Oreochromis niloticus: one gene and its partner. The protein of the gene in region 2 interacts with the protein of the main gene of each other region in a pairwise test. Links are inferred from orthologs where the notes say so. Each region holds a gene or a part of one and is shown on either strand. Other genes may lie near its edges.

The links.
Region 1: the proteins of jakmip2 (region 2) and CAP-Gly domain-containing linker protein 4 interact in binary tests that used the Homo sapiens proteins (3 or more experiments, as listed by UniProt). The two-hybrid records come from large-scale screens. The link is inferred for Oreochromis niloticus from reciprocal best matches to the Homo sapiens genes JAKMIP2 and CLIP4.

The regions. Positions count from the first base shown.
Region 1 is NC_031983.2:24,619,680-24,627,186, forward strand, and holds the start of CAP-Gly domain-containing linker protein 4, read right to left. Parts: upstream 3,036-7,507; 5' UTR 2,568-3,035; coding exon 2,528-2,567; intron 2,029-2,527; coding exon 1,882-2,028; intron 888-1,881; coding exon 748-887; intron 257-747; coding exon 163-256; intron 1-162.
Region 2 is NC_031975.2:21,410,136-21,417,809, forward strand, and holds the start of jakmip2 (janus kinase and microtubule-interacting protein 2), read right to left. Parts: upstream 3,213-7,674; 5' UTR 3,039-3,212; intron 1-3,038. Other genes in the region: sodium- and chloride-dependent GABA transporter 2, read left to right, coding at 5,702-5,903, 6,009-6,143, 6,706-6,846, 7,016-7,097, 7,393-7,525.

The DNA of each region.
Region 1 (7,507 bases), on a different chromosome or scaffold from region 2:
TAAGAAGTGGTTGATGAACAGCTGCACTTACTGAGGTATACAGAATAATGTTCAGCAGTAGAGTGGTCACATAAATTAACACACACATACGTCAGAGTAGATGTCTGTTTATTTCTACCCTGCAGCTGAGAGTGCTTATTCACCACCTCTGTCAATACTTACCAATGCCTGGGGCTCCGGCCTTGCAGCAGTAGTGCAGGAGGCTCATATCTGTCAGACCGTCTCGATCATTCACAGCACAGCCTCTCTTTAGGATCTGTGCAAAGAAAAGATATGCAGTATGTGCCACTAAGGACTTGGTGTTGGCGTGCAGAAATCTTCCATAACAGGTTAAAATGAAATTAGGGGGAAATTGTGTGATGAATGACAAGTAATTCAAGGCTTTCATAACTCTACTCATCTTTAAATCTGGACAACAGGTGTTACGTAAACTGACATTGAAACAAGGTATTTATTTCTCAAGGGTGATAGTTACTCAGAGAAAATGATCGCCTTCTTTTACCCTTGAGATGAGTGCTTCTCTGCACAGTTTACTGCAATGCAGCTACTTTGTGTAACACGGGCAGAAGGGATTTGGTGTGTATCTGAACAGAGTCCATAACAATGAAAAAAAATAAATCAGAACTTATATTAATCTGAAGTCCTCTGAAGTTTCAGTTGATTATATTATGACAAAAATAAAAGCATTACAGCTACAGAAGGGACCGCTGTGAAATTCCGCAGCAGCTGGACATTTTTTAATGTCACCTCATTGCCGATGAGGTCAATGTTCTTCTGAACCTGGGGCACCCACTGCCTGAGGACAGCAAACAGCTCTGGTATGGTGGTGCTGGGATCCAACAGAACCTCCCTGCATTGCGGCTCACTGGGGTCAAAGAAGGAGAACTCTGGAAGCAATGAAGAGGAACGAAAGTGACACATGTTAAGTATAATGAGGAGTGGGACCGGAAATATTTCTCTCCCGTGTACAGACATGAAGAGAGCATGTGTGAAACTCTGCAGCACAGACGTTTATTGCAGACGTTTCTGCAACTGACTGTTCAATCGATTCAGCAAATTACTAATCTTGGGAAATGCCCTTGCTGCCCTTGCAGAGGCAAATGAAAACAGATGTGACAGTAGATGGCATGCCGTGAACCAAATGAGGCATTAGATGACCCGGCTGGGGCTGAAGGTAAATGGCTTTCACTGTGAAAGGCCAAAAGTTAACACTAACTGTAGTCGGCTAAGTCCGTAAGTATTTGGGCATGAAATTTTTCATAATTTTATCTCTGTACGCAACTACAGCAAATCTGAAATGAAATACTTTGATTAAAGATTCAACTTTAAGAGGGTCTTGGGGAAAAAAGGCATTAAACATATAAAAATTAGACTGTAAATTACATCACTCAACTTAGAAGTAATTGAACAGTCAAGTGTTACTTGACTTCTGTTCACCTCAAAAACCTAGCACCAAATCAACACAGTAATTTCTTAAAGAAATCAAACTTTCTTAAAATGCAGAGTCAGTACCAACTTTTAAAAAAAATTGTGACCACATCCAAGTATTTAAGGACATTAAAGCAAATCAGCATCAAACCTGCTGAAATGGCTTTACGATTAATTAGGTAATTCAAGATATAGACGATAACAGTCACAACGTTCTTGTTTAAAAATAAATCACTACAAAAGAACAATGTCAAAGTGTAACTAACATATCCAGCTACATTATTAGAACCCAGAGACTCTCTATCACCATCATCGCTCTGTGTCAATTTAAGCCATCAACCTTTCTTCAGTCTCATATCTTGTGGCATTTCACAGCCTGTCGATGCTGCAAAGAGAAAGCGTTAACTAGCCTGAAATGTCACATAGCTGCACAGTGAGAGCGTGAATACTCACCACAGTCACTGGGCATGGGTGCAGAGGCCACCTGGTGGATCACTGGCCGCTGATGAGAAGAGAGTCTAGCGCGGCAGCCCAGGACCGTGTCGCCTTCAACAGGCTCTGAAACATCCTCCTTTGTCATCTCCCCCTCAGGGCCTGCGGCTGGAACAATATTAGAAAGCCTATTCTGAGAACACAAGTAGGTCTAATCTCTCAATAAAAGCACACAGGCTAGCTACAGCGATGTTTTCATTTGATCTGGCAGTGCAATACAGGGAAATGTAACTTGTATGCACAGAACTAACATAATATAAAAAACATGGTATTTTAATCTGTGGTGTCGCCTGAAGAATATAGGGGGAAGGCGCATTCAAGCTATCACCCCAACAAGACAGGGCTTTTCAAAGAATGTCAGCATTTGACTCATAGCACCTTTGAGAGATTCCTTTGCCAGCAGATTAGAAAACAAAGAAAGGTTTTTGGTGAACACACCAAACTACGAGCCTAATCTCAAAAAAGTGACACTGTAATGCGGACACAGGAAGCTTTCACAAAGGAACCTTGGAGGCTGAACTAGAAGCATACACACACACCCACACACAGGTGTAAGCCTGGGAAAGCAACATTGAGCCTAAAATCTTCCCAACCAACCCTCACTCACTGTCATCTTCTCCTTTATCCTCTTTCTTGTTGATCTCCATGTGAGCCTCCCAGTCGTGCTAAGCTAAAATCAAAAGACACAGACTGGGTCCAGTAGAACATCTAACCAAAATCCTTCCCAAAATAACTCCAAAGCTCATTGACTGCCCCCCTCCTCAATCTCCAATAACACCCCCACTCTCTCTGATTATACCCTGTTGATCCCCTGACTCCCAGGTCCAGCAGCTATTTACAGCCTGTACACTTTCAAGCCAAGGAGCTTGTATATCTGACTCTCCCGGCTGGAATGTCACTCTCACTTTCCAGTCCTGTGAACCTCTGACCTCACTGACATAGAGTAGCCAAGCGTAACCCCTAGTGGAGGGAATGTGGCCTGTAGGCTGATAGCGCAAACAAACAGGAGGGAAGTGGTGGCTTTGATTAGAAGGCCTGTCGTTCACCACAAAGCCCAGTATCCATTTCCCCCGGACAGCAAACATCAGCCCTACTGAAGCAACCATAGGACAGACACAGAATACCTATCAGCCCCAGAGAGAGGGTAGCTGACTCTACACCCTGACCTCCATCCATTTGGTGTAAAGGAGAAAAAAAACCTCACTGTCACAATAGGGTTGTATTATCAAATAAAAGCAATTTCTTAAAAAAAAAGTATTTGAGCAAATTTGCAAGATATTTGTAGAAATATTTCAAGAAAAAAACTCATATTTCATAAGAAAAGGGGCTTAATAATATTAACCACTCTATTCTCTTTAAGTGCTTAACCGAACCACGATATTTGATAAGTGGACCCGCATTTGCTCCAGAAGAGCCCTGAAACTGAAGCGCCCTTTTTTTGATTAGCTTGTGGCACTTCACTTCACAGTCTGATTTTCCAACAGCATGCTGAGGTGAAGGTCTGACAAAAGACTAATTATTTTTCAGGAAGTTTGAAAACTTTAGCCTCAACTTTCCGAGTCACAAAGATGCTTTCTTTTAACCTGGATGAATTACACATAACTGAAACAATGTACTAACAAGCAAATTCAGATAACTCATATCAAGACAGGAGTCATCAATGTTCTCTGTTATCCCAGGCTTCTGCTTCAGCCTCTGAGAGTGCTCAAACATTTATAAAAAAAGGGCGTTTGATGTGTCATTTCACCCATCTTCTGCACAAAGTTGACAGATCAAGTGCTACCTACTTCAGTCAAAAAGTATCAGAGGAACAGGGGATAGAAGTCAGTAAAAAAAAATAAAAAATATAACATCTAACATCTAAAAATTCTCTAACATGCACTTTAGCGCAGTCAGATCTAAGTAAAATTAATTTTACTGATTGAATTTTGTAGTATTTTATTCACAGCAGTGTGAAGCAGACTTGGCAGTACCAGAAGACTCAACAGGTTTCATGTATAACACGTTTTTCTTCAGAACAGAATTAGTATTCCTATTAAGGTGAAAACTAAAACAATCAATGAAATTGTGGCACTCACAGACTATTTTAAAAAGAAATAAATGTGTTTTATACATACAACCTGTTGATTTGCATTTTTACATTACCATTAAAGGAAGCTGTGACGTTAGAGCAACACAAACTGTGTGCTTCAAATAGTCAGCAGGTGATGCAGAAAATTAATAAGTGTGTCTATGGAGCAATGTCACACTCATTTAATGTTTAAAAAAACTTGAGAAATAATAAATAAATAAAAGCCTGTAGTGAGTGCTAACATTCGTGTATTAACTCAAAAGAATAAATTATTTTCTGCAGAATTACTCGCTTGCCATATTTGCAAAACCAATGTTGCTTTTTATCATTTTCTTTTTTTGATGATCATTTCTTTAGTCTTTTTTTATTACATAGAATTGCTCGGACTCAAGTGGGTAGCACTTAAATGGCCCATTTTGTGCAAAAGAAGAGTGAAATGGCAAATTAATTACTCTATTTTTGTGAGCATTCACTGAGACTGAGTCAGAAAGTCTGGGTTACAGAAAAAACTGAAATTATCTTTGACCAAGAATTTAGGATTTACCAAGCTAATGCAAAGAAAGCAATGACCTTTCTTAACAGCACACCTCTCAGGAGAGTGAATGTGCATGTTTGAAGAGAAAGAGAGTGTCTGCCATCAACATGTAACTGTTGATAATTTCTTCTCCATTTCTGTAATTTCATTGTTGCAAACAGAACATTTGTATATAGATGTATGCTTTAGCAGTGACTGTAATTTCCATAGTTCATGCTAATAAAGAGTGAGATGAAAAACTACTACCAACCTCTCTGAGGTCACTGACTGGCTGTGTAGAGATTAGGTCTTTGCAGTATGACTTGAGACAATGGCCTACTTCTAGAATAAGCCTCTTCTTGTTTGCCTGACCTACATGATGTCACCATTCCCACAGCTACCGAAGAGACAGCACTCGCATATTTTTGATGACTGTGGCCATTTAAGCACCCATTGGCAAGCTACCCATTCTGGCTGACTGTAATGTATGTTGATCTTTTTAAGTTCCATGCTATATCTAGAAAACTATTTGAATTACATCATTAAGCTCATAATGACTATAACGTCAGGAGCATGGAGCTTCAAAAAACACCCTGAATTTTCTTGAAAATTGATAGCATTTCGTGCACTAGCATATTTGAAGGCCATAAGTAGAAAGAATAATTTTACAGCTAGGATGTTGAAATTGAAATAAAAATTATATGTATGTGTATTTTTATTGAGATATTCCACACACAAAAAATGGCATCAATAAATTTAATTGGATTTTTCTATAAAGATTAAATGTTTAGTGGTAACAACATATCCAAAACGTTTGTTCACAGGCAGCATCCTTGACCTCCATCCATCCTATGCGCCTCATGCACCAGGCCAAATCATGAACTATTACCCCCTGCATTTGTTTGCTGATGTGAGGTGGGGTGCGTGGATTAGCTTGATTATGCAAGATAGAGGTTCCTGTTACTCTAATCGGAAGCAGGTATGCACTCAAACAACAATAAAGCCATTAAAAGTTATATTTTAGACAGGAATACTTTAAGTCCTAAATGACCACACTCGGTCGCTTGAGCTTTAATCAGCTTGAGAAAAGTTATGCAACTTATTATCTAACATCCAATTATTGGAGAGATGGCTTATTTGTGGTTGTTTATACCAGTTTGTGTGACTTAAGTGTGGCTGATTCATTTATATCCCCCAAATCGTTAGCCAACTTCACAGTCGAAGAGGCCATCCCCCTAGCAGTAGACACTCCCTCCTCATCTCATACTTTTGTAGCCCTTCAGCAGAGGTAAATATAGCATGTCATCTTTTCAAACGTCCACACGTTGATTTAATTAATTTCCAAATAACTTTGTCAGCTAAAAGTGTTTTTAATCGGGCTACAAGCTGACAGTAACAGTTAGCTTGCTAGCATATGTTCAAAAACCGGCTCGGGCTTAGCGACAGATGAAGCACACCTTATATAACTAACACTGCAGACATTGCTCAGTCCCTATAAGCAGCTAGCAGTCCCTGCTTTCACCGTGCAGACGTGAAAGTTACTCAGAGCCCTCCTCTCAGTCACCTTAGCTCCCTGACGTTAATGTTCCCCAACACGAACACTGGGCCAAAAACATCTGAGCTACTTACAATGCACTTAGCGAGCAGAGAGAGACACAAGCATCATGTTAGGCTGCTTAATATTAGCGTTACCTTCACCTCCCTGCTTGTTTTGATCCGCCCATGGGGAAAATGTCAGGTAGCGGATTTAATTTCCGTCCATTCTAATTGGATGTTGCACAGCTGAAATACTTCCTGTTTCAACATCTAGGCTTCAGAATAAAGGCGGTTAATGTAAACTTCCGGTTTTTAAAATAAAAGTATTACAACGACCCATAAAAATAAAATAAGAAATAAATACAACTAAATAACTTTTGAATTGTTTTTGAAAATTAAAAAAACCCGAAAGACAATAAAAGAAACTAACCTGCAATATCTTGACATCATTTGCTTCATGTAAACATATAAACATGCCATTAAAGACACATGTTCATTTTATGTATTTATTATTCATTTATTTATTGAATGAATAAATGTTAAATTTATTCTTTTCTGGTTTGAGCAACAATCCACTAATAAAGTTAGGGGTTTTTTTTCTGCCATCCAGTTACATAATATAAAGTGGCAAACCTACAAAAAGGCATTATTTTAGCTGGCCTGAAAGTTCCTTCAATTCTGGGATTGTTTGCCACATACTAATGAAAATAATCAACAGCTGAATACCAGAACCTGCTGAAGGAAAATACCTCGAAATACATAAATTGCACTGTACTATTTTGGTTACAGAAATTTTGAATTTTGTTTTTCTGTTTTTGTTGGGCAAGAAACTGTAGGCGAGTCGACAAAAGAGAAAAGACTGTATATTACTTTATGATTACTTTATGTAATTAAAATAGCACTGTTTAAACCCAGTGCTTTAGTTTCTTATGGAAGCACTTTCATGACTGTTAAGTCCATTTCATGTTTTCATTACAGAATTCATAATTGCTCAACTAAAATAAATGCTCTGTTCCGCTGTATAGGAAAAGGATACCCATTTTGTTGATGCACTGCTTTATTCTGAAGCACCCAACCTCCGAATACAACAAACCTCTTACTTTTAAAAAGAAAAAGTAAGCTGCCACAAAGATGGATGGTGCAAGAGGTCACTTTTCAGTCTAATGCCTCTCTTATCATTGGCGGTCACAGTGTGGGAAGTTGTGTCTGAACATCTTTCTTTTCAGGAGAAGGTAATTTCTCAGGGTGACACTTTTCCTCCAATGTCCATTCAGACTGACAAGCCACTTTTAGTGAAGATTCAGGTGCTGGTGTTTATTGAACCTGAAGAGCACTCTGCATGTGTTGCTGCCTCTGTCATGAAATAAAGAAGAGGACCAAATTGCAGACTGCTGAGACGGACTTGGAATAAACAAAAAGCAAGCCTTTCGTGTGGCTGTTGTAGATCCAGAGCATAAAATAGGAAA
Region 2 (7,674 bases):
TGGTAAGGGCATGTAAAACACCTTGTCTTTTTCAGAAAACAGGTGTCACCACTACTTGTAGTGCATATCCTCACAGTAGTAAACAAATAAAGGACTATAAGCTTTTTACAGATGCGAGAATTCTGTGGATAACATCCTGAAAAGGTTAATTTTCCCCATATCGTGATTTTCTCAAAGCCTAGCCAAGCATTTTTTCCCTAACCCTGTCCAAACAGTCACATGGTTGGAAGTCTTTTGTTTAATATGTGCCACCACCAAGTCTTCCACCTATTAATGTGTATTTTTACACTGCTTTACTATGAACACTCGTAGTGCAAAGCTGAAAACATACATGCCAGCCACTTTTTAGGTACACATTAGTAGTACCAGATTGGACCACTATTTCATGCAGAAAATATCACATTAGCATCACACCACCACCAGCAACCTGAACTGTTGAGGATGAATGGATCCATGCTTTCATTTTGTTTACATCAAATTCAAACATTCGACAGTTGCAGCAGGAATCGAGACTGATCTGACCAGGCAACGTTATTTCCAATCTTCTATTGTCCAATTTAGATGAGCACATATGGGTTGTAGCCTCAGTTTGCTGTTCTTAGCTGACAGAAGCAGCACCTGGTGTGGTCTTCTGCACCCACAACCCATCTGCTTCAAGGTTCAAGGTATTATATGTTCAGAAATGCTCTTCTGCATACCTTGGCTGCAACAAGTGTTTGTTTGAGGTATTGTTGCCTTCGTTATTAGCTCTGTCTGTCCATTCTCCTCTCTAACTTCTGGTCCAGAGAACTGTGAATCTGATAATTCAACTGTCTTGACCATGTCTACATGCAGGTATGATGATGTGTTTCTCATATACATAATTCTCTGCCAAGTCAAAGCACACAGGAATAAATACTCTACTGCATGTTCAGTCATTCAATATGATTCATTAATGTCACAATCCACCTAACAGTTATCACTTAAGACTCAGATATATGATATGATATATGTAATATGATTTTGTAAATACAGACGGAACACTGTTGGGAGCTCGTGTTCCAGATGTGAAGCAGAAATCCAACCTCCTCCCTAATACCAGACCTAGACACACAGACTGATCTCTTTAGCAATGTTATGTCCACGTGTTTGTGACAGCTCAACCAACTGGCACTTTCAGCTTTATCTTTCTGTCATGTTCATTTTTCATCAAACACAATCTTGCATTTCAGGACTATTTTTGATTTAGTTAATCCCTGTTATGCAACCCTCTCAGTAAAACTTAGCTGGACCAATGCCAGTATTGCCCCAACATCGAGGGGCAAACTAAGTTTAATCAGTCTGGTTTAGAGCTGTGACATAATCTGGTTCAAAGTGCCATCACTTTGGCTAAAGTGAAGAAGAACTGTTCTTCTTGTTATTGGATTACATTTCAGTCCTGACCAAAAGATGCTTTCTAATCCATTTGCCTGAGGTCAAAATACCAACCCTGTGTATAAGCAGAGCTCTGCTAATGCTGGAAATAGTGCAGGAAATGGATCTAAATGACTATGGTGTACATCTGCTCCATGTTTAAAATACTTGGTTTTCTTTCCATTTTTTTATTTAATAATTCATATTTAAACAAATTAAAGTTCGAAAAAGTAAATATAATTCTAAAACAATAGTTGTATTAATAAGAGTGGGAAATAAGGTGTATCTTGCAAGATTAACAAATTGGAAAATACATTTGTTGAAACAGAAAACAGAAATGGTGGTTTGCATCATTGTTATTGCAAATTTTAATTTGTAATATTTCCTGTATGCCTGGCTAAATGTCCACAAACATTATAACATCTACAATACAGCTGTAATATGTAGTGATGGCTTGCAATTATAGTATGGTGTTAGCATTGACTGTTATGTTGAAGCTGCAAGCTTCTGTAGTTGTTCGGGATAATAAATTCCTCTTTATACCCAAAGTAATCCTTGATGATGCATGGATAAGATCTGAAAATAGGATTCTAGACTTAATGATACAGGGATATATATAACTATCTCACCTCTGCTCAGCTGGTTCTGACAACAGCAACATATTTAACAAATTTATAGAGCATTATTATTAGTAATAAGCCCACAGGTCAACCAAAGCAAAAAAAGGTCTCATCTCATTTTTTCCTGTTTTTGTCATCTCCTTTTGCCACATTTTGCTATCAGTGTTTTCTATTGGATGACTCTTGCATTTATAAAGCAATCTATAAACAATTAGCTTGTGGTCAGTCATTAGCCTGCATCTGCCCTGGCCATAAAACAATACTGTGACAAACACCTTCCCAGCTGGGGTGATGTCTGTTAAATCAGGCCAGTGTAACACCCTGAGGCAGTTGTAGGCTACAGACTCTGAGCCTCGATCTGGAGGCCCTGCCAACCCACTGTGGACTAGCATCCTCTTGCAGCATCACTGCAGCATCCTTTCCTTTTACGACACGGCCAGCAACGTGTAACGATCTGTCAAGCAGAAGAAGAAGGATGAAAAAAGGAAACCCACATCCAGAATTACTACACGTGCCTGATAATTATAGAAAAGGATGCTTATCTGGCTTTACCCAAAGGCACAAGCAACACCACCTGGGATCCTCACTGCACAACAATCACGGCTACCAAAAGCTCGAAATATGCTCGATGCAGCGTGAGCATCCGGCTCTGCATGGCGAGGAAAACCCCGAAGCGGACACAGGCTCCATCCCCGTCATCTTTAAAGGGTTTGCTGGTGTAGGCCGAGCTCTGCCACTTCCGACAGGCAGGCTAAATCTCTGCTGCCGGGCTAAATAAGACATGCTTTAGGGGTTTATACCACAGTACGCGATGGTGGCCTCTTCTCGCTCCAGTGTTACATTTATTTTTAAAGCGGAGGTGAGATTAAACAAAAAACAAAAACAGTCTTAACATCTCTCGCTTCGCTTCTGGGATGATCAGTGTGAGTCAAGCCAACAGGCCCGCTAGTCTCAGTAACTCCCAGTTCAGACGGTGATAAACCTCAACTACAGCAGCCACACTGCCGACAGATTTCATCGCCTTACCTCACAACAGATTCCCATCCAATGTGAAGACCTAACGGGTGAGAAACCACATCCATGGCATGCTTCCGTTACTAAATAAGAGAAACACAATCGCCTGCTATGGTCTCTGCATCAGCAGCAGCCCCGTACAATGAAGTGATGGCCGGTGGTGATGATGCTGGGAGCCCCGCCCTCCTGTCAGCGTAGCCAGAATGAGCTCACTGATTTTCAGCCCAGCCGGCTCCAGTAGCGCTGCAGTCCACCAGTGCAACAGCACTGCTGTACAAAACCTGCAGCTTTTCTTTGCCTTTAATTTTTTTTCCCAGTAGTTTGTTTCCCCGTATTTGCCAGATGACATACAATGCTTAGTTAAATTACATGCACGTCTTAAATACACAAATGTCTGGATGACTTCTAATTTTCTGCTTCTAAACTCAGACAAAACTGAGGTTATTGCACTCAGCCCTGAAAATCTTAGAAACACGGTGTCTAACCAGAGTCTAGATGGCATTACCTTGACCTCCAGGAACACTCTAATTAAACTTTGAGCCATTTTTGACCAGGCGATTTTCAATTTGCATATTAAACAAATGTGCAGAACCAAAGTTTAATTTAATATCCTTCTCTTCAGTTACCAGGTCTTGAATAATCACACCCCATTATATTTTAAAAACCTCATAGTACCTTACTGTACTAAGTTCTTTGCTCTCAGACTGCTGACTTACGTGTGGTTCCTATAGTTTCTCAGTGTTGAGTTTGCAGCAGAGCCTTCAGCTTTCAGGCCCATCTTCGGTGAAATCAGCTTGCAGTTTGGATTCAGGACACAGACACCTTTACTTTTATGATAAGGCTTAAAACTTTGCTTTTGGATAAAGCTTATAGTTAGGGCTGGATCCAGTGACACTGAATCGTCCCTAAGTTATGCTGTCGTAGACTGGGGGCTTAGAGTTTCTTCTTTGTTCATCAGTTTTTTACTTAGTGAATAATTTTTAACTCTCTTTTATAGTTTGTCTTTTCTCCAGTCTACCTCTGCTCTGTTCTTTTTCCCCTCATCCCCATTCCAGCGTGGCAGATGGCTACCCCTCCCTGAATCTGCTTCTGCTTCTTGATTTCTTCCTGTTAAAAGGGAGTTTTTCCTTCCCACTGTCACCAAGTGCTTCATCCCTGCTCTAACACACTGGGATCTTTAACCTATAATATAAAAAGGTAACTTTTGAGGTGACAGCTGGTTTTACTTGTCACTATATAAATACAACTGAATTGAATGATGTGGCATTTTGCAAAAGTACACAGTTGGGGTGCTTCAGTGTCATCTTTCTGCCACTGCATCATTTTCAGATCCTTGGTATTGAGTATTAGTGCAGTTTAAGAGTAAGACAACTTATCTGGATCAGAAACTGCCAACACATGATAATTCATGATAAATAACTATAATGCATAACAAATAATTCTGCCCTGCCTTAAATATTGAATTAATTTTAAGGATTCAAAGTTCTGAGGCTTATCGAGTTAGAGTGTTGCCCAAACTTTTTTTCTGAGTTTGCAGGAGTAGTTGCTTATTTTCTCTACAATAAATAAATACATAAATAATGTCAAGATGCCTGTTAAAGTTCCAGGGCATGTCTAAATCTTTACATTACTTTATTTATTAGCCAAACCAATAAAATAATCAGAAAATTAAATGCATATTATTCTCAGTGTAACATTTGGACTTTTTTTGTGTTATAGAGAGCTGTGTGGTACGAAAAATAATGTTATAAATAGTGCCACCTAAAGGTCGATCTAAGAATTGTGCGTAATTGGCAGAAGTTATGCACAATTCTTAGGTCCATTAGGAACCATTGGCTGGACTCCGATTTTCTTATACAGAAAAACAAGACATTTAATGCTAAATCAAATTACTATGATAAATGTTGCTAGAGTCTTCAGATGTCTGCATCTATTTTTGACATTTTTTTTTTGAGTCAAAACAGTTTTAAATGTCTTCTCTGAGTTCGAGATCCAAGTAAAGCGTAAAAACCTGTTGTTTTTTCTGCATTTATTTGTTTACCGTACTATGAGTTAAGATATATGAGGCCATATAAAATAATAATAATAATAATAATAATAAATAAATAAATAACCTCCTGAGAACCAGTCTATTCATTTATATCATCTGGAATGGACATTTGTTTTTTGTCTTTATCTTTCGAGTTATTTGAGCTACCCTATAAGTCCATACATACTAAATAGAGGAAAACCCGGGATTTCCATTGGTATCTGATTTTGTGTGTCTTTTAGCTCCAAAGAGGAAGGAAATAACAAAAGAAAATGTTTGATTGAAAAGATTCTTTTTTCCTTTGTTCTCAGGAGGATGAATAGTGTGTAGAAATGTTCCCCAGGGTTTGTTTTGCTGTCGGTGTCGGATGAATTAAGGCGGAGCAGTAGACCCCATCACCAGCTTCTTTCATCACTCTTTCCCCCCTGCATCCCACAAAACACACATTTCTCTGCAGCTTAAGTAGGCGAGTACCCCTCTCAGCCAACACAAGTCACAGTAACAGGGCCAGCGTATCAGAGCCGCTGCCACATTAGGGCATCTTCAGCTTCATATTCGTGTGACCAACCCCGTGTGAGGTTTAGTCCAGTGCGCGGGGAACTTTACACAGAAACAAAGGAAATCTGGCACCAAGTAAACCATTTAAATGGGGGAACAGATGACCACAAACGGCAAGAATTGCACCTCCACAGCTCGTGTGCCAAACAGTCACCCAGAGAAGGCTGAAGAGGTGGAAGGAAGGGGGCACTGGGGAACCAAAGCCGAGTTTATATTGACTGTGATGGGTGCGATCATTGGACCCGGGAATGTGTGGAGGTTCCCCTACCTGTGCTACAGAAACGGAGGAGGTGAGTGATAGCGTAAAGAAACGCTCTTAGTTGTCAAGCACATTTTGTCCAACGGTATTTTTTTCCTCCTTGTGTAAACAACGAAAAATTCCACCTTTCTTACAGGTGTGTTTTTCATCCCATACATCTTGTTCATATTCACGTGCGGGATCCCCCTCTTTTTCCTTGAGACTGCCTTGGGACAGTACACTAGCCAGGGGGGAATTACTTGCTGGAGAAGGATTTGTCCGCTCTTTCAAGGTAATTAAAATGAACGTCCCCAAACTTTTCTCCGAAATGTCAGTCATAATTTATACATATTCAGTGAGTCCTTATATCTACCAACGGGCTTGTATCCTAGTCTATTTTTTTATGCGTGCTCGATTATTCCCCTAGAAACACCGCTGAGACCGCCTCCGTGTCCAAAAATGGTCTCGGTCCAACTACAAACAGTGTTGAGGCAAGGTGCCAGAGGGGAAGTTGTTTACACCTCCAGTAGGAGAGTAATCACTGCTACTGAAAGATTACTACACGCATGATTGTTAAGTGTATGAACCACATGAATGCATTTCATAAATATGTTGGTTATATTCCAGTTATACTCCTGCTTTATCGCACAACGACCTTATTTATAGACAGTAGACCTCTGCAAAGAGAAAGTGTTTACACAGTGTTTCGACTGACATTACACTTTTATATAGCTTACGTCTGCGGTGTTTCCTTTGCGCACCTTTTAGCTCTCAGACTTTAGGTGCTGTGCAAGAACAGAACTGTTTCAATACTTGGCCCTTACCAATTGTATTTATTTATTCGTTTATTTTAGGCATGGGCTATGCCAGTCACTTAATCATCGCATTCAGTGCAACATCTTATATTATAATCCTGGCATGGGCGTTCTTTTACCTGTTCCAGTCTTTCAGTGGGGATTTACCTTGGGCCACATGTGGACACTACTGGAACACAGGTACTACAGTACTGGTATATTCTAAAAAGCAGTGGCTATTGTATGCCTGGCATGTTGTGTGCTGTAAGAGTTTTGAATATAGAATATATGAACTATAATTTGAAGGCTACACCTTTGACACTGTAAATGGGCATTTTTACCTTGCTGATGTTTTATTTCCCTATACCAGACTCATGCTTGGACTTGAGCCATCTGAATCTGAGTATGACGTCCAGACTGAACACTACTCTTCCTGTTGTGGAGTTCTGGCAGTAAGCATATAGTCAACTCACACAAGTTAAACAGAATGCCTTTTTCCCCTTTTTCACTCCCTTCCCTTACTTGTCTCGTTCCCTCTCTCCTCCTTTCTTTATGATCATTTTCAGATGTTTTCTTTTAACTCTCCACTTCCTCCCACACTTTTTTTTTGTCATCCGTCAGTCATCCAATCTGGCACTCAGTTTTCCTCCCTCCCAATTTCCACATGTCCTTCCCTTTCACCTGCCGTTCATTTGTGGTCTCCTGGTCTCCCTCTCACCCACATCATTGCTCCCTTCATTTGACCAGGCGTCGGGTTTTAAAGGTCTCTGGTGGTATTGAGGAAGTTGGGGGCTTGCGATGGGAACTGGTCCTTTGTCTCATCCTCAGCTGGATTATCTGCTACTTTTGTGTTTGGAAGGGTATCAAGTCGACAGGAAAGGTTAGTAATTTAAAAACTGAACATTTTATTTTGTAAATTTTTTTCCTTTAAAAAAACAAACAAGAAAATTCATAATGTCATATCATAAAATCATCCTAAAAAGATTTTAAAAGTCCTGATAATGTGGCCTTGTGAAAGAATGTACACTA